Pelodiscus sinensis: one gene and its partner. The protein of the gene in region 2 purifies or fractionates together with the protein of the main gene of each other region. This does not show direct contact. Links are inferred from orthologs where the notes say so. Each region holds a gene or a part of one and is shown on either strand. Other genes may lie near its edges.

Region 1 (8,132 bases), on a different chromosome or scaffold from region 2:
ACAGAGCCTGCCTCACACCTACCTCCACAGAAACACCTCAAAGCCCGTCTAAGGCAAGCATACTGCAAGCCCAGAGTGCCTTTCTTTCTCATGTGCATGACAGGGTCTTCCTAGCACAGATTTTACATCTCTACTGGTTGCTCTGGGCACCCAATCCAAGTTACCTGCACTTCTGGGGAAGGACTCATAATTGCTCTTGCAGCTTCCCTTTACTTCTCCATCAGAAGTAATTTTTCTGCATGGAAGCAAAGAAATCTGCAAGGGCCCATGAATTCTGCACATGCAGTGACACAGAATCCTCCCAGGAGGTTGCAAAGACCAGAACTTTAACAGGGTTCAAGAATGAACTAGATAAATTCATGGAGGTTAAGTGCATCAATGGCTATTAGCCAGGATGTCCCTAGCCTCTGAGAGGCTTGGAATGGGTGATGGGAAAGGGATTGCTTGATGATTTCCTGTTCTGTTCACTCCCTTTGGGGCATATGGCATTGGCCACTGATGAAAGACAAAATACTGGGTTAGATGGACCTTTGGTCTGACCCAGTATGACCATTCTTATGCTCTTAAGGAATTAAGTTGTGTTAGGAGAGGTAAAAACAACAGTTTAATCAATTTGTAGAATCCTTATCTTGAAATTCTAAAGCTTTGCGACTATCAGATGCTAATGTATATTGCAATATACAATTAATTTTCCTAAATTTTTATTTTCAGGCAAAAGATTGTTTAAAATAATGCTATAAGTCAGGGATCCTGGCTATTGTCTGAGAATCTGATTTATAATTATCCTTTCTTATTTATTTGCGAGAAATTCTATATCAATTTCAATAGGAAAAAATAAATATATTATCTTCTATTTGCTCAATAACATGTGGAATTTCAAGTACTCATCAGAAATTAGGATTTGTCTTATAGGACCCATTCCTGCTAGATGATGAACATTGTAAAACCAACAGGAGTTGAGAATGGCCACCTTATCATAGGAAGGTGCTACACACCATGGGAAACCAGGATTATAGCGAACAAAGCCTTGTAAATATGTTGTCAACTCTAGTTCTCCAACTAGGCACCAAGTATTTATTGACTCACTCCACTCAGATCCTTGTCCTAGGCTGGAAGCCTAACTCTGATGTAAACCGACAACTCCATAATGGCCACATTTTATGATGTTGACTAGCTGCCTGGCTAAATTCACTTACCTACTCTCAGGCTACATCTATACTGCAGCCTGCTTCCACAAAAGCTTATGCAAATGAAGCACAGAGTAGAATATCACTGCACTTCATTTGCATAATTAATTAGCAGCAGTTTGTGCGCAAGAGGCTTTAGTGCAAAAAATGAGGAAGAACGGCTCTTGCACAAGAGGGTGTTTTTGCGCAAAAAGGTGCCGTCTACACAGCTCCTTTTTGTGCAAAAGTCTCTTGCACAAAAAAGACTGCTAATTGCTTATGCAAATGAAGCATGGTGATATTCTACTCCACACTTCATTTGCATAAGCTGTTGTGGAAGAAGGCTGCAGTATAGACGAAGCCCCCAAGAAGTGTTATCATTAGAGAAGAGAAGAAACAAAAAGAGGCTCTGATCAAAAGTATTACTGCAACTCTCTAGCATCATCACTTCCTGGACAAAGTGACCATGCTTTCTAATAATAATTTCTGCCTAGCATCTTCTTCATTCTTATCCTCTAGGACACATTACTCCCTTCCTGTTGGAGATATCCAGTGTTTTCCTTCTGAAAACTCTTCTGTGTTCTAGGAATGTTAAGGACTAGTTGACTAGTCCACTATCCGATAAGCAAATGTCCAATAAGCGGCAGCACTGCATAGCTGATCCGAGGGTCCATGGGGTGCTGCCCCTTTGAAATATTGCAGCATTTCAAAGTGGTGGCACTGCCTCTTTGAAAAACCACGGTGTTTCAAAGGCGAGCACCGCACGGAGCCCAGGATCAGCTGTGTAGTGCTGCCCCTTTGAAATGATGCAGCAGAGTTTCAAAGGGGCAGCGCTGCCCTGTCAACTAATCAAATAGTTCATGCAAAAATGCATCAACTATTCAATTCGTGAATTACTCGATACTTAACATCCTTACTATGTTCCCGCTACAAAAGTACAGAATCGAGGCACATAGTAACAATAGACAAGATACCCTGGATAACTCTGCTCTCAGTGAAAGAACTGGAAAATAAAAGTGCTGATACTACAGAGACAGTGTGATCCAGTGGATAGAGCACTGGACTGACTTTCAAGAGACCTGGCTCTGTTACTGACCTGCAAAGTGATATCAAGAAAGTTACTTGGATTCTCTCCTTCCTCTTTCACTTTTTGGCTTGTTGATTTAGACTCTAAACCCTTCAGAGCAGAAACGGTGTCTTTCTTTTGTACAGTATCTAGCACAAGGAGGTTCTGATTTCTATTAGAACCACTAGCTGCTACTTTAATATAAATAATAATTATTAATACTTATATAGTACTTTACAACATCAAAGCAATTTGCAAAGACTAAATAACTATTCCTCAGTAGGCAAACAAGTATAATTATTCCATTTTACTGGTGAAATTGAGACAAAAAGGGTATGTCTACACAGCAAAGAAAAAAAACCACACCGTGTGAAAAGGTCCTAGAGCTGAGGCTCCAACCCAAGCTCAGAAGTCTAAACACCAATGAAACAGCCTTATAACCCAAACTCCCTGAGCCAGGTCAGCTGGCATGGAACTGTTGTGAGTTTTTCTTGTTTGTGTAGACATACCCAAAGAGATCAGAGGTTCTCAAACTGTGTTTCATGGAGCACTGACAGTCAATAGAGCACTTGCTGGTGGTCCACAGAGCTGGCTCTTCCTTTTTACTGCCAACCCTTAAACTGCATTTAAGAATAGCTTTAAAAACATGAAACACTTTTCTAAAATTACTCTTCATGTAAGCAATTACTGTAGTTGCCACATGAGTGTTATGCAGTGAAACACAGAAGGAAATGGTCTGCACAGCCATTAGTGGGAGCATGGAACAGTTTCTGTATTAAAATGTAGTCCATGAATGAAATTTTCAGAACCCCATAGATAAGAACCAGTGGTTAGATGAATTCATCTATCTCTAATGGTTAACTAAACCAAATGTGCCTAAGAAACCCAATACAGGCAGTGCCCGGGTTACGTACAAAATAGGGTCTGTAGGTTTGTTCTTAAGTTGAATCTGTATGTAAGTCGGAACTGGCATCCAGATTCAGCCGCTGCTGAAACTGATCAGTTTCAACAGCGGCTGAATCTGGACACCAGTTCCGACTTACATACAGATTCAACTTAAGAACCCCAGGCGTCCCCAAGTCAGCTGCTGCTGAAACTGATCAGCAGCTGATTCCAGGAAGCCCAGGGCAGAGCAACTCTGCCTCCGGCTTCCTGTAGTCAGCCACTGGTCAGTTTCAGCAGCGGCTGACTTGGGGACGCCTGGGCAGAGCAGCTCGGGTGCTGCTCGGGAGCACGGCCGCTCCTCGGCGCTACTGGACCAACCCAGCAGCACCCCAGCTGCTCTGCCCCAAGCGTCCTGATTCAGCCGCTGCTGAAACTGATCAGCAGCGGCTGAATCAGGACTCCTGGGGCAGAGCAGCTGGGGTGCTGCCGGGTTGGTCCAGTTAAGCTAAGGAGCGGTGCTGCGGGACCAACCGGCAGTGCCCCACCTGCTCTACCACAGGCCCCGGGCTTCACTCCACGTCTCCCTGGTCTGCTGGGGGGGGCACTAGCTGCGTCCCCCCCCAGCAGACCAGGGAGATGCGGAGCAAAGCGGCGGAGGACCCGGGCCGGACCGTGGCACTTCCAGATCAGCTGGAAGCGCCGCGGGTCCAGCCCCGGGTCCTCCGCCGCTTTGCTCCCCGTCTCCCTGGTCTGCTGGCTCCCCCAGCAGACCAGGGAGACAGGGAGCAGCTTTTCTCGCCCCGGAGGAGGCGGGCAGCGGGACCAGGTGTCCCGCCGTTCCAGTCCTCCGGGGCGAGAAAATCTCCGTTCGTAACTGAGGATCCGACATAAGTTGGATCCACGTAACTGGGGGACTGCCTGTACACAAAAGATGCAGGCATGGCCTGAGGCGGGCTGCGGCAGCTGGCAGCCCAGGAGGAATGCGTGATCAGTGCCCCCGCCTGCATGGCTGTCAATGGAGTGACGTCATCATCAGGCTCCTCATTGAAGGAGGCACCCTAGGCGATGGCCAAGTCGGCCTATAGTCATGGGCCGCCACTGAAAAGATGTCACACATATTAGTGATGTTAAATTTTGATTAATCAGCTAATTGAGTAGTCTCCATCGACAACTTGTATTAGTCAATAAGGGGGGAGGGATAGCTCAGTGGTTTGAGCATTGGCCTGCTAAACCCAGGGTTGTGAGTTTAATCCTTGTGGAGGCCATTTGGGGCAAAAAATTTGTCAGGGATGGTGCTTGGTCCTGCTATGAAGGCAGGGGACTGGACTCAATGACCTTGCAAGGTCCCTTCCAGTTCTAGGAGATAGGCAATCTCCATTAATTTAATTTAGGGGTGAGTAAGATGCTCCCTATTCCCACTTGTGTCTTTTAAATGTAGTAAGGGGCCCACTGGGGCTCTGACTACATTTAAAAGTCAGAGGCACAGCAGGGAACCTGTAGTGAGCTGGGATTCAAGCAGTTTGGTGGGGGAGAAGAGCCCCTCTGGATGGTCTAGGCACCATGTCTGCAAACATGTCCCTCCCCCTGCTACCAGAGTCCCTTTTTAACCAGACTTTCCCTACTTTCCAACTAGGAAGGATAGACACTTTCTCTCTTAGCCACGGGTCTCATTCCATCACTTGGAACCAGGTGAGGAGGCCGCAAATAAGCCGCCGCCGCCGCCACACCAAACATCGCGCAACTGGCAATGAAAATCTGGCGCGTTGGCAGCCCACACTGCCGCAACCTGGCGGGGGGGAGTCCCTCACGCTTTGCCAGCAGCCCGGGCAGAGCGGTGCGAGGGCGAGCGGCGCTGCAGGGGCGGGATTGTCCCGGGAGGTAGGGGAGTTGGCCCAGTGCCCTGTTCCCAGCTCCGGGCCCTTCCCGCCCAGAGCCCACAGGGCACCGATCCCTCCCCCGGCCCTAGCTGCGCGCTCCCCCGCCCACTGGCGGGGCCTGACGGCAGCAGGGAGGAATGCGCTTCCGGAGGCGGAGGAGGAGCGGCGCGGCTGGGCCCGCACCCAATTCCCACCCCCTGCGGCCCGCACACAGGGCGCCCAGCGAGCTGGACGGAGGGAGCGGCGCCGGGCTCCGCGACACGCAGGGAACCGCGCCAGGGCTCCCGGGCATCCGTGGGGACAGACCTGAGCCAGCCGGGCTCCGAGCGCGCTTCTGCCGCCGCCTTCTCCCGCGGCCATGGCCAAGGTACGGGGCCGGGGGCCGCGCTCGCTGCGGGGGCGGGTTTCCGCCCGCTTGTGCCGCGGGCCAACATGCCCCCTTGTGCGAGGAGCCCGAGCTCCCGGGAGAGACGGGGGGGGGGCTGCCTGGGGCCCCCAGGTACGCGGGGCTGGGCCCCCTCCCGAGCGGGCTGGTGCAGGGCACCGGCCGCTGCTGCCCCGGCCCAGTCTGGGGGCTAATGTGTGCGGCGCCACCCGGCTCGGTGCTGGGTCTGGGCCGCGCGGGGAGCCAGTGCCGCCCACCTTCGGGAAGCGCCAGGGCTGGCTCCGGGTTCGCTGCAGGGCGGGGCTGCCCCTCACCGGGCCTGGCCCGTGTCAGCCTGGCCCAGGGCTCCCGGCCCTAAAGCCAGACAAGGACATGCCCTGGCCCTTTGTCCGCTGCCGCCCAGCCATTCAACTCCTTGGGGCTCGGCCGCAGGGCTTGCCCGTGCGGAGTGGCCGCTACATACCCCGTGGCACTTTCCATAAGGTTGGGCGCTTTGTCCCGGGCCTCCCTGAAAGGAGGGAGGGTGGGGGCTCATCTCCTCTGCTCCTGCCTTGTGAAGGGTGCTGTAAGCACCGCTGCTTCTCAGTGGCGTTTGTGAAATGCAGTGGGTGTCTTGAGACTGTGGAAGTTCAGTCTTAATCCTCGTTCACTCCAACAGTACTAGCTAACTTCTTAACACACTTGGATGTGTTCCTAAGGTGCAGTAGAAAAACAGTTAAAAGACAAGGTCTTTCCCTGTCCCGAAAAAGTTTTAGACAGGAAGGCAACAGGGAAGGAAGGCTTGAGCAAAGACCGAGCCACAGTAAAAAAAAAAAAAAAAAAATCACAGAGAGCCTCCTAGATCTGCAAATTCTATTATGTTAAAAAAAAAAAAAAAAAAAAAAAAAAAAAAAAAACTTGAGAGGGATTGCTATTTTGGATTTTGTGGTTTTCTTTAAGTACTTTGAGTAATGCCACTGACCAAGTGAATTCAGAAATATCTAGATTTAAATAAGCCTTTTGAAATCATGAGGCCGTGGTAATAAAGATATACTTTATATTTCCGCCCTACTGATGATTCACGCTCCTGTCACAAAAATTACTTACCTCAGGCAAATCATTAAGTAGCATTGTGTAATGCTCCTTAAAGCTATATATATAAAACTTGTGGAAATAGGGAACAACTAGTAATAAGTAAGTGAGATCAAATGAATTAAGGATAAAACAGTGTTAACTTTTGTCCTTTAAAATGTTTGAAATTAAATTAGGGCTGTGGAGCGATTAAAAAATTAATTGTGATTAATTGAGTTGTTAAACTAACAGAATACCATTCATTTAAATATTACATATTTCAAAAATATTGATTTCAATTAGAACATAATACAAAGTGCACAGTTCTCACTTTATATTTATTTTTTATTACAAATTCTTGGACTGTAAAAAAAAAAAAGTATTTTTCAATTAACCTAATATAAGTACTCAGGGGGTAGAGACTGTTACTTAAAAAACTAGTGGTCTTGTAGCATCTCAGTGACTAACAAATATATATTATGAGCTTTCGTGGGCTTTCTGAAGAAGTGGGTTGTGCCCACAAGACCTTCTCATGATAATATATTATTTTTGTTAGTCTCCAAGATGCTACAGGACTACTCATTTTTCATTTTTTAAAATACAAATACTGTAGTGCAGTCTCTTTATCAAGAAAATTAAACTTAAGTGTAGAATTGTGTACAAAAAACTGCATTCAAAAATAAAACAATGTAAAACTTTAGAATCTACTTGTTCAGCCAGTCATTCAAACAAACAAGTTTGGGTTATTTGCAGAAGATAATGTGGTTTGCTCTTGTTTACAAAATCACCTGAAAGTGAGAACAAATGTTTCCATGGCACTGTTGTAGCTAGCATCTCAAGATATTTACGTACTAGATGTGCTAAAGACTCATGTGTCCTTTCATGTATCAGCTGTCATTCCAAAGGACACGCATCAGTGACCATGATGGGTTCTATTAAATAGCAATTCAAAGCATCTGAGTCAGGTGCCACCAACAGAAGGTTGATTTTTTTTTTTTTTTTTTTTTTTTTGGTGGTGGTGGTTCAGTTGTTCCCTGTCGGAGTGTTGCTCTTTTAAGACTTCTGAAAGCAGGCTCTATATCTCATCCCTCTCAGATTTTGGATGGCATTTCAGATGCTTAAATCTTTGGTTGAGTGCTGTAGAAATCTCACATTGGTATCTTCTTTACATTTTGTCAAATTTGCTGTGAAAGTGTTCTTAAAGTGTGCTAGGTCAGCATTAGAGCCTTAGATAAAAAAATGTGGATCTTCATCCCCTTGGTGCAACTCCTCCCTAGCTCAGTGATTTTCAAACTGCAGTCCACAGACCGCTAGTGGTCCACAATCACCTTGCAAATGGGCCACAAGTCAAAACTCAGCCCCTTCCCCTGCAACAAGGAGTCTATGCTGGTGCTCCAGTCGTGCTCTTCCCGTATCCCCATGAGATTGGAATGCCAGCACCAGCTTCCTGTTGGGGGGAGGTAGAAAGCCCAGAGGTTTGCTGCTGGATCCGGCCTGTGAGTGGAGCAAGCAGCTCTGCATACTGCTGCTCCCCGTTCCTCTGGCTGGAGGAACAGTGGCACACAGACACACTGCCTGGAGGCTTTCCCCACTGCTCCCATTGGCCGAAATTGTGATACAGTAATTGGGAACAGTGGAAAGCATGCCTCGAATGCAGTGGCTGGGAGTGGCACCTGGGAGCAGCGTGGGGTTCAAAGCCTGGT
Region 2 (8,028 bases):
AGTGCAATAACCACAGCCAAAACTAACATTCTTGCTTCCAGAGGTTCCTCAGTTGCTTTAACCCCAATCTACTTTAATTTAAAGGTTTGAGGGAAGAAGTTGGTTGTGCCCAAGAAAGCTCAAGACACCATCTACATATTTTGTTAGTCTTTAAGATGCTGCAAGACTATTCATTGTGTAAGTTTTTACGTTAATTTAGAGAGCCATATCCTTGAGTATCTACTGTATTTTTACTTCATCCACTTTCACTGCCAAACTCCCAAGAAAGAGAATCACTTACAAATGCACATATTCACAGATTCCCAAGGCCAGAAGGAACGATTGTGATCATCTAGTCTGTGTAACACAGGACATAAAACCTCCTAAAATAATGCCTAAAGTTTTAATGAAAACCTCCAATTTTGTTTCAAAAATTGTTAGTAATGGAGAACAGACTAGACATCTTGGCAAACTGTTCCAATAGTTAATAACCCACCTCGTTCAAAAGGTGTGCCTTATTTCTAGTTTGAAATTGTCTAGGCTCATCGTCTATCCACTGGATCAGTGTGAAGAAGGCATGTTTTATTGTTCAAATAAAAACTCATTCTCTTTTCTCTCACCCTCTCACATACCTACTTATATAGGTCAATCAACATAATAATGGAGCACCCCTCCCCCTATTTAAAATTTACTCCCCCCCTCCCCCCGCGTATAAGAAAATAGGTTTAGTTAATTAATCTGTTGTTTTGGGACAGTGTGAAGATGTTGGCTTACATGTAGGAACAGTGAAAGGAAAGGCAAGCTAAAGCAAACAGTACTTCTTTTTGACAGTAAGTAATGTCTTGCAGGAACAAGCCTCATAGACCAGGTCCTTTGAAAACTATTTCCCACACTCCCAAACCTCCCCCATTGGCTAAGTGTCATGGTTTCAGTGGATCACAAGGGACACAGGAGAGAGGATCTCTCAGGTAGATCAGACCAATTGAATAAATGTTTCTTATTACAGGATACAAACACAGAATTGGACATGGAACTGAACTTTGTAGTCAAGGAGGAGAAGAGCTGAGCATAGCGAAAAGTGTTCAGCACAACCTGTGTTCTTTAGCAGGACTGTTGCATCCTGTACAAAAATCATACACTGAGAGCAGAATACATATGCTTGCATGTATGCCACTGATAATTCATCTTAAAAAACACTCCAGTTACTTCATGATGGCTTGGGAAGTGAAATGTTTTAGAGAGAAACTCCAGAACATAATCTAGAAACTTTTTCTTGTTCCCACTGACTTCAGTTACAGTTGCCCTCAGTTCAGGAGATGGAACTACTTTCTTGGGAGGGGAAATAACAGTGATTTAATTTGAATTCACACAAGCACTTGAAATCAGATGCTGAAAGCAAAACATGGAAAGAAAAATAAATATGAAAATGGGAACTGTCATTTTAATTTACTTTAAAAAAAGTTTTATGTCCTTTTTATTGGTAAGAAAAAGCCAACTTTTAAAAAAATATAGATTTTTAGGACTTATATTTTAAATAATTTAATCTAAATTCATAAGAGCATTGATCTTTTATGTTATTGAAAGGTAAATATAAACACTAATTTATGCAATACCAAAATGATACATGAAAATATGAAATAGGCATATAGAGGGCATTCTAGGTTCTTGTATTACTGCAAGTGCTGGTATAAGTTGAAGGAGGTTTGTTTTGTCAGATCAAAATTGGGTGATGTTATTCAGTTTTGCAATAAACAGCCTCTAAAAGGGTTTGAAACTATTTGCAAAATAGTGGAGGAAGGAACATTTATTACAGTCCAGTATTTCACCATGCTTCTGGGGAAATTCTATTGCTTCTTATTTTGTCAGTTATAACTGTTGAGGATTCAAGGGAATATAGACGTGTACTTCACTTCTTCTAAATAAGAGAGTTGTCGCAGCTGGCTACTTTCTGCATTCAGCTATAAGTGGCAAGCAAGCTTGGCGTTCTTCATTGAAGATGTAACATCTTCAGGTGCAAATACCATTCAACTCACCCAGCTGGAGCTGCTCACAAGTCCCATTGGGGTTGCTCCCGATCCTGCACCTGAATATTGCACCTGGGTTGACCACAGAGCTATTCGCCAACCAGTTGGCTTTCGGGGCTCCCACGACCATCCTAAAAGCGAGGAGAAAAGAGTTTTAAACCTGTCAACAGAGATGAAAACACCACGAGGCAACCCCTCTCCCCACCAGCACCCAGGAGAATTAGAGCGTCACGCTCTCCTGCGCCCACCTCGCGTGCAAACGTTTGCTTTGCGATGGGGGCCCGTGGCGGGGGAAGAAATTGCTTCCCAACTTCCTCGGCGTCTTTGCAACGGGAATGCTGGGAGGGGGGTGCCGCACGGTCACCGTCACTTTCATCGGATACCCGATTGCGCGCGCTGGGCCAGGTTCCGAGTGGGACAGTCCCTGGGACAAGCTCTGGCAGGGACTCGCGCCTACCGCAGCAAAGCCTTTGCCGGGGGCGCCGCAGCTGACAGAGCGAGGAGCCAGGTGCAGGCATGGCCAAGTCAGACCGGCGACGACCCGCTGGCGTTTTGCTGCGAGGAAAGTCCCCCGGCAGCTGCCGGGAGCGAGAGGTCGCCTGGCGAGCGCTGGTGACTTACCATCGACTAGCGCCGTGGCTGTGCAGGAGAACTGTGTAGCCAAACAGTGTCCCGTTGAGCCCCCTGAAGACCACGGGGTGCTGCGTGTCCAGGTTGTACGCGCGGGCAGCCCCCAGCAGGAGCAGCGCAGCCCACGCGGCAGCGCCCCCCGAGGCGAGCCCCCCGCTCAGCGGCTCCCCCCAAGCCCGCATGGCGCCGCGCGGCGAGCTCTAGCCCCGCCGGCTGCCTGCAGCGCACAGGGCTCGTGCGCTGAGCAGCCCCTGCCGCTGGGGGCTGAGCCTGCTAGGGGAGGGGTAGAAAGTGCAGGCAAAGCGCCTGGCTTTGGCGGGCGGAACTGGAAGCCCCTCGGGCAGTGTTTAAAGCGCAGCAGGCTCCGGGCGCTGTTTCTCATCAATGGGAGTCCCTCCCCTCTTTACCCCCAGGTCAGGGGCTAGAGCAGGGAATCCGGCCCCGCTGCTGGCCGCAGATGGATGCGTCCCTCTTGCCCTGGGGAAGCTGCAGGCTCCCGGGCCCAGGAGTGCGGGCAGTTTTAGCCACCGACCCCCATGTAAGCCCCTTGCACCACCCTGCACGTGCTCCCATGCCCCAGCCGCCCCCCCCCACTCCCGTCCCGCACGTGCTCCCATGCCCCAGCCCCCCCCCCACTCCCGTCCCTCACGTGCTCCAATGCCCCAGCCCCCCCTCACTCCCGTCCCGTACGTGCTCCCACCCCAGCCCCCCCCACTCCCGTCCCGTAGTGCTCCCACCTCAGCCCCCCCCACTCCCGTCCCTCACGTGCTCCAATGCCCCAGCCCCCCCTCACTCCCGTCCCGTACGTGCTCCCACCCCAGCCCCCCCCACTCCCGTCCCGTAGTGCTCCCACCTCAGCCCCCCCCACTCCCGTCCCGCACGTGCTCCCACCCCAGCCCCCCCCACTCCTATTGCTGGGGCGATGTGAGGCTTTAACACTTATAACAAATGTCACCCAGGAGTTGCCACACAACTGCCTCCCCTTTCTCTAGGAAAGTAACCAGCAGGACACAAGGAGGAGTTGGGGAACAGGGGGGAGATGGGGCAGCTAAATATTTCAGGAGCTGGAGTTCAAGGCAGCTCCCCAAAGAGTTTTTAACCTTCCTCCCCCTCCCAACAGTAATTCTGGCCTCTCCCTCCTAAAATACCAGTTTCCCCATTCTCTCCCTGCTAGCCTCTGCCCCTGGGGTGTGTCTCTCCTAACCCACCCACCTCGGGCTCAGTAGGCTGAGGACTGGACTGGAGTGGAATCATAGACAGAAGGGGAGGCTGCAGGAAGTGGGTAGGGGTGGTTGGTGGTTAGGCCTCACCCACCGTCTAATCCCACCCTGCATGGTTGAAGCATTGGACTGGGCCCTTGGACAGGGAGGAAGGGTGAGGGAGGGGCTCAGGCCTCGAGCAGTAAATAGGGCCAGGGGCCAGAGAGACTCAGAGGCTATGTCTAGACTGGCATGATTTTCCACAAATGCTTTTAACGGAAAAGCAAGTGCCCCAAGGTTCGGTTCTAGGACTGGTTTTGTTTAATATCTTTATTAATGACCTGGATGAGGGGATAGATTGCCCCCTCAGCAACTTTGCGGATGACACTAAGCTAGGGGGAAAGGTAGATACGCTTAAGGGCAGAGATAGTGTCCAGAATGACTTAGACAAATTGGAGGATTGGGCCACAAGAAATCTGATGAGGTTCAGCAAGGACAAGTGTAGAGTCCTGCATTTGGGACGGAAGAATCCCAAGCATAGTTACAAGCTGGGGACCAACCGGTTAAGTAGTAGTTCTGCAGAAAAGGACCTGGGGGTTACAGTGGATGAGAAGCTGGATATGAGTCAACAGTGTGCCCTTGTAGCCAAGAAGGCTAATGGCATATTAGGTTGCATTAAGAGGAGCATTGCCAGCAGATCCAGAGATGTCATTATTCCCCTTTATTCGGCTTTGGTGAGGCCTCATCTGGAGTATTGTGTCCAGTTCTGGGCCTCCCACTACAAAAAGGATGTGGACTCATTGGCGAGGGTCCAGCGGAGGGCAACCAAAATGATTAGGGGGCTGGAGTTTATGACTTATGAGGAGAGGCCGAGGGAGTTGGGTCTGTTTAGTCTGCAGAAGTGAAGAGTGAGGGGGGATTTGATAGCAGCCTTCAACTTCCTAAAGGGAGCTTCCAAAGAGGATGGAGAGAAGCTGTTCGCAGGAGTGACAGATGGTAGAACAAGGAGCAATGATCTCAAGTTGTGGTGGGAGAGATCCAGGTTGGATATTAGGAAAAACTATTTCACTAAGAGGGTGGTGAAGCTCTGGAATGGGTTACCTAGGGAAGTAGTGGAGTCTCCATCCCTAGAGGTTTTTAAGTCTCAGCTTGACAAAGCCCTGGCCGGGTTGATTTCGTTGGGATTGGTCCTGCCTAGAGCAGGGGGCTGGACTTGATGACCTCCTGAGGTCTCTTCCAGTTCTATGATTCTAAGTGAAAACATGTTATGTGGGTCAATTTTCCCATTAAAAATAATGGAAAAGGTGGGAGTTATGTTTCAAGTAGTGGGGAATGGGGAAACCCAGCCGCCAGACTGCAAGCTGGGTTGGAGGAGAGGGAGCAAGGCATCCAGTGAGAGGGGGTCTCCGGGAAACGACATGGCGTGCAGTGAACCCTCCACCGCTTTGCAGGGAGGCGGGGGAAGCCCCCCGCAGCCGCTGGCGACCGGCCAGCCAGCTGGGGAAACCATGTTATTTTGGGCACGGTCGTGTTGTTCAAAAAACGTTCCCCCCCCCAAATCATGCTATCGCAAAAATGTGTTAAGCAGGCACGTGTTAAGCAAGTAATTACTGTACGACGTTGGAAGACAGGGCTTCTTGTGCAAGAGCTATGCTCTTTTCTAACAAGTGTAAGCCCTCTTACGCAGGAGCTCTTGCACAAGAGGGCAGTGTGGACGCACAGCAGAGGTTTCTTGTGCAAGAAAGCCCTATGGCTAAAATGGCCATCAGAGCTTTCTTGCACAAGAGAGCATCCACACTGCCATGGATGCTCTTGCACAAAAGCACATGGTAATGTGGACGTGTTCTTGCGCAAGAGTTCAGTGTAGACATAGTCTTGGAGCAGGCACTAATAATACATAATTTAAAGTTTCCTGGATTAATAAATGCTTCCCACATTTGAGCTTTGGCTGGTTTCCATCAGTGCTTGTATCATGCTATGGAGATAGAATGGCACATAGACAAAGTTAATACTGTATTAATTCCTGCTACAGGTTTTTCTTCTGGTTTGGGAGATAAATATATTGTGTTGGGTAAGTGCTCCCGAGACCTGGCCCCCTACTACCTCAATAGACTCCCAAACCATAGAGGCTTCACTGGATAAGTGCTATAGGAGAGAGACAAGAACAGAGCGGCTATGTCTAGACTGGAATGATTTTCCGCAAATGCTTTTAACGGTAAAGTTTTCCGTTAAAAGCATTTGCGGAAAAGAGCGTCTAGATTTGCACGTAGAATAGTGGTAGAAATGTAGCCGTGTTAGTCTGGTGCAGCTGAAACAAAACACAGTACTATGTAGCACTTTAAAGACTAACAAGATGGTTTAATATGTGATGAGTTTTGTGGGCCAGACCCACTTCCTCAGATCAAATAGTGGAAGAAAATTGTCACAACCATATATACCAAAGGATACAATTAAAAAAATGAACAAATATGAAAAGGACAAATCACATTTCAGAACAGAAGGAGGATGAAGGGGGGAAGAGGGGAAGGTAAATGTCTGTGAGCTAATGATATTAGAGGTGATAATTGGGGAAGCTATCTTTGTAATGGGTAAGATAATTAGCGTCTTTATTCAAATTTGCGTGTAAAGTGTCGAATTTAAGCATGAATGACAGTTCAGAGGATTCTCTTTGAAGTGAAGTCTAGAAGGGTGTGTCTAGACTACAGGTTTTTTTCGAAAAAACTGGCCTTTTTTCAAAAAAACTTCCCCTGCATCTAGACTGCTGCCGCGTTCTTTCTAAAGTAAATCAAAAGAACGCGGCAATTTTTTCGACCATGGAAAACCTCATTTTGCGAGGAATAACACCTTTTTTCAAAAGTGCTCTTTTGAATAAAGACACTATGTAATGCAAACTGCTTTTTCGAAAGAGAGCATCCAGACTGCCTGGGTGCTCTCTTTCAAAAAAGTGGCTCACTTTTTCGAAAGTACAGGCTGTAGTCTAGATGCTCTTTTTTGAAAGAGGCTTGTAGTCTAGACGTTCCCAGAGTTGCTAATTTTTGCTTTATGCACCCACTGAGTAAAGGACAGAAACTTGCAGTTCGCCATGTTATCTGTTGCGTACAAAACAGCACTGGGGGAAAAAAAATGTGTGATATCTATTGGCTGATTCAGTAGGGCTTATTTTCTGTGTGTTTGCTTTGTTCACAAGTATTTTCCATAGCAGTGTTTCATTTTACAGAAATGTTTGAGCCAGGAAGATTTCTCTCTTATTCTGCGAGCAGCTTGAGAACACTATTAGCAGAATATGTACGGTTCAAAATTGCTATCCCAAGTTGTTGCTTAGACATTAGGAGGAAATAACTACTACTTTTGGACTGTGTGGTTAGCTCAGTGGTCCATAAAGTAAGCTGTGTCCCCCTTACTCATAAAGTAATCTGTCTGAACCCCTCTTCCCCCGGCAGTGAGGCCAGGGGCCAAAGCCATGGCCAGGATCGGGGCCATGGCTGGGAACAAAGCTGGAGCCAGGAGTTGAAGCCTGAGATGGGCCCAGTGACTACAACCTGGAGCGGGGCTGGCACCACAGTAGAGCGGGAGACAGAGTGGGACTGGGAGGGCTTCCTTCCCACCCTCCTATGGGGGCTAGCGCAGATCCTGCCACGCCATGCCAAACATACTTCTCCCTTAGGGGACACACTGTGTTAGCTAATATTATGGGCCTCGCAGAAGAGTTTCTGTTAGAGGGGGAAACCGATGATCAGAGTTATTTCTTTGGTGCAATCCTGTTTATTTACAAAGAACATACACACAGTCCTTTTTCTTTACATACAGAAGAAGCAAACAGCAGTCAGTTTCCTTTCTCATAATTTCTAAGTCTACCTTTCCAGTACTATCTGTGTTCCCAAGTTGTTCATTCCATCTCTGTTCCATCTAAGGGCCACAGTGTCTGCAGGCTTTCTGTCTCATAGCTAAAGTCAATCCTAGGGTTGCCAACCCGCTAGGATTGGCCTGGAGTAGGGATGTAAAATTTCAGTTAATCAGTTAACCGGCTGAACATTGGGTTGACCTAACATTTAACCGGTTAACCAACTAAAGTGGGATCCAGGTTGGGAATCACACCAGCCCAGCTGAAGCAGCCCCCAGCTCATGGGGCTCTTGCCCCCAGCCCTGTCTTGAAGCTGCCATTGGTTCACAGTTCCCAGTCCCCGCACTGTAGCTGG

The links.
Region 1: the proteins of ITGA4 (region 2) and ITGB1 purify together in Homo sapiens (co-immunoprecipitation; 4 studies listed by BioGRID and IntAct, with this or other methods). This does not show direct contact. The link is inferred for Pelodiscus sinensis from reciprocal best matches to the Homo sapiens genes ITGA4 and ITGB1.

The regions. Positions count from the first base shown.
Region 1 is NC_134712.1:230,380,015-230,388,146, reverse strand, and holds the start of ITGB1 (integrin beta-1), read left to right. Parts: upstream 1-5,125; 5' UTR 5,126-5,352; coding exon 5,353-5,361; intron 5,362-8,132.
Region 2 is NC_134717.1:48,518,499-48,526,526, reverse strand, and holds the start of ITGA4 (integrin alpha-4), read right to left. Parts: upstream 3,163-8,028; 5' UTR 2,816-3,162; coding exon 2,625-2,815; intron 2,585-2,624; exon of another isoform or gene 2,380-2,584; coding exon of another isoform or gene 2,252-2,379; intron 2,135-2,251; coding exon 2,013-2,134; intron 1-2,012. UniProt on the Homo sapiens protein: Integrins alpha-4/beta-1 (VLA-4) and alpha-4/beta-7 are receptors for fibronectin. They recognize one or more domains within the alternatively spliced CS-1 and CS-5 regions of fibronectin. They are also receptors for VCAM1.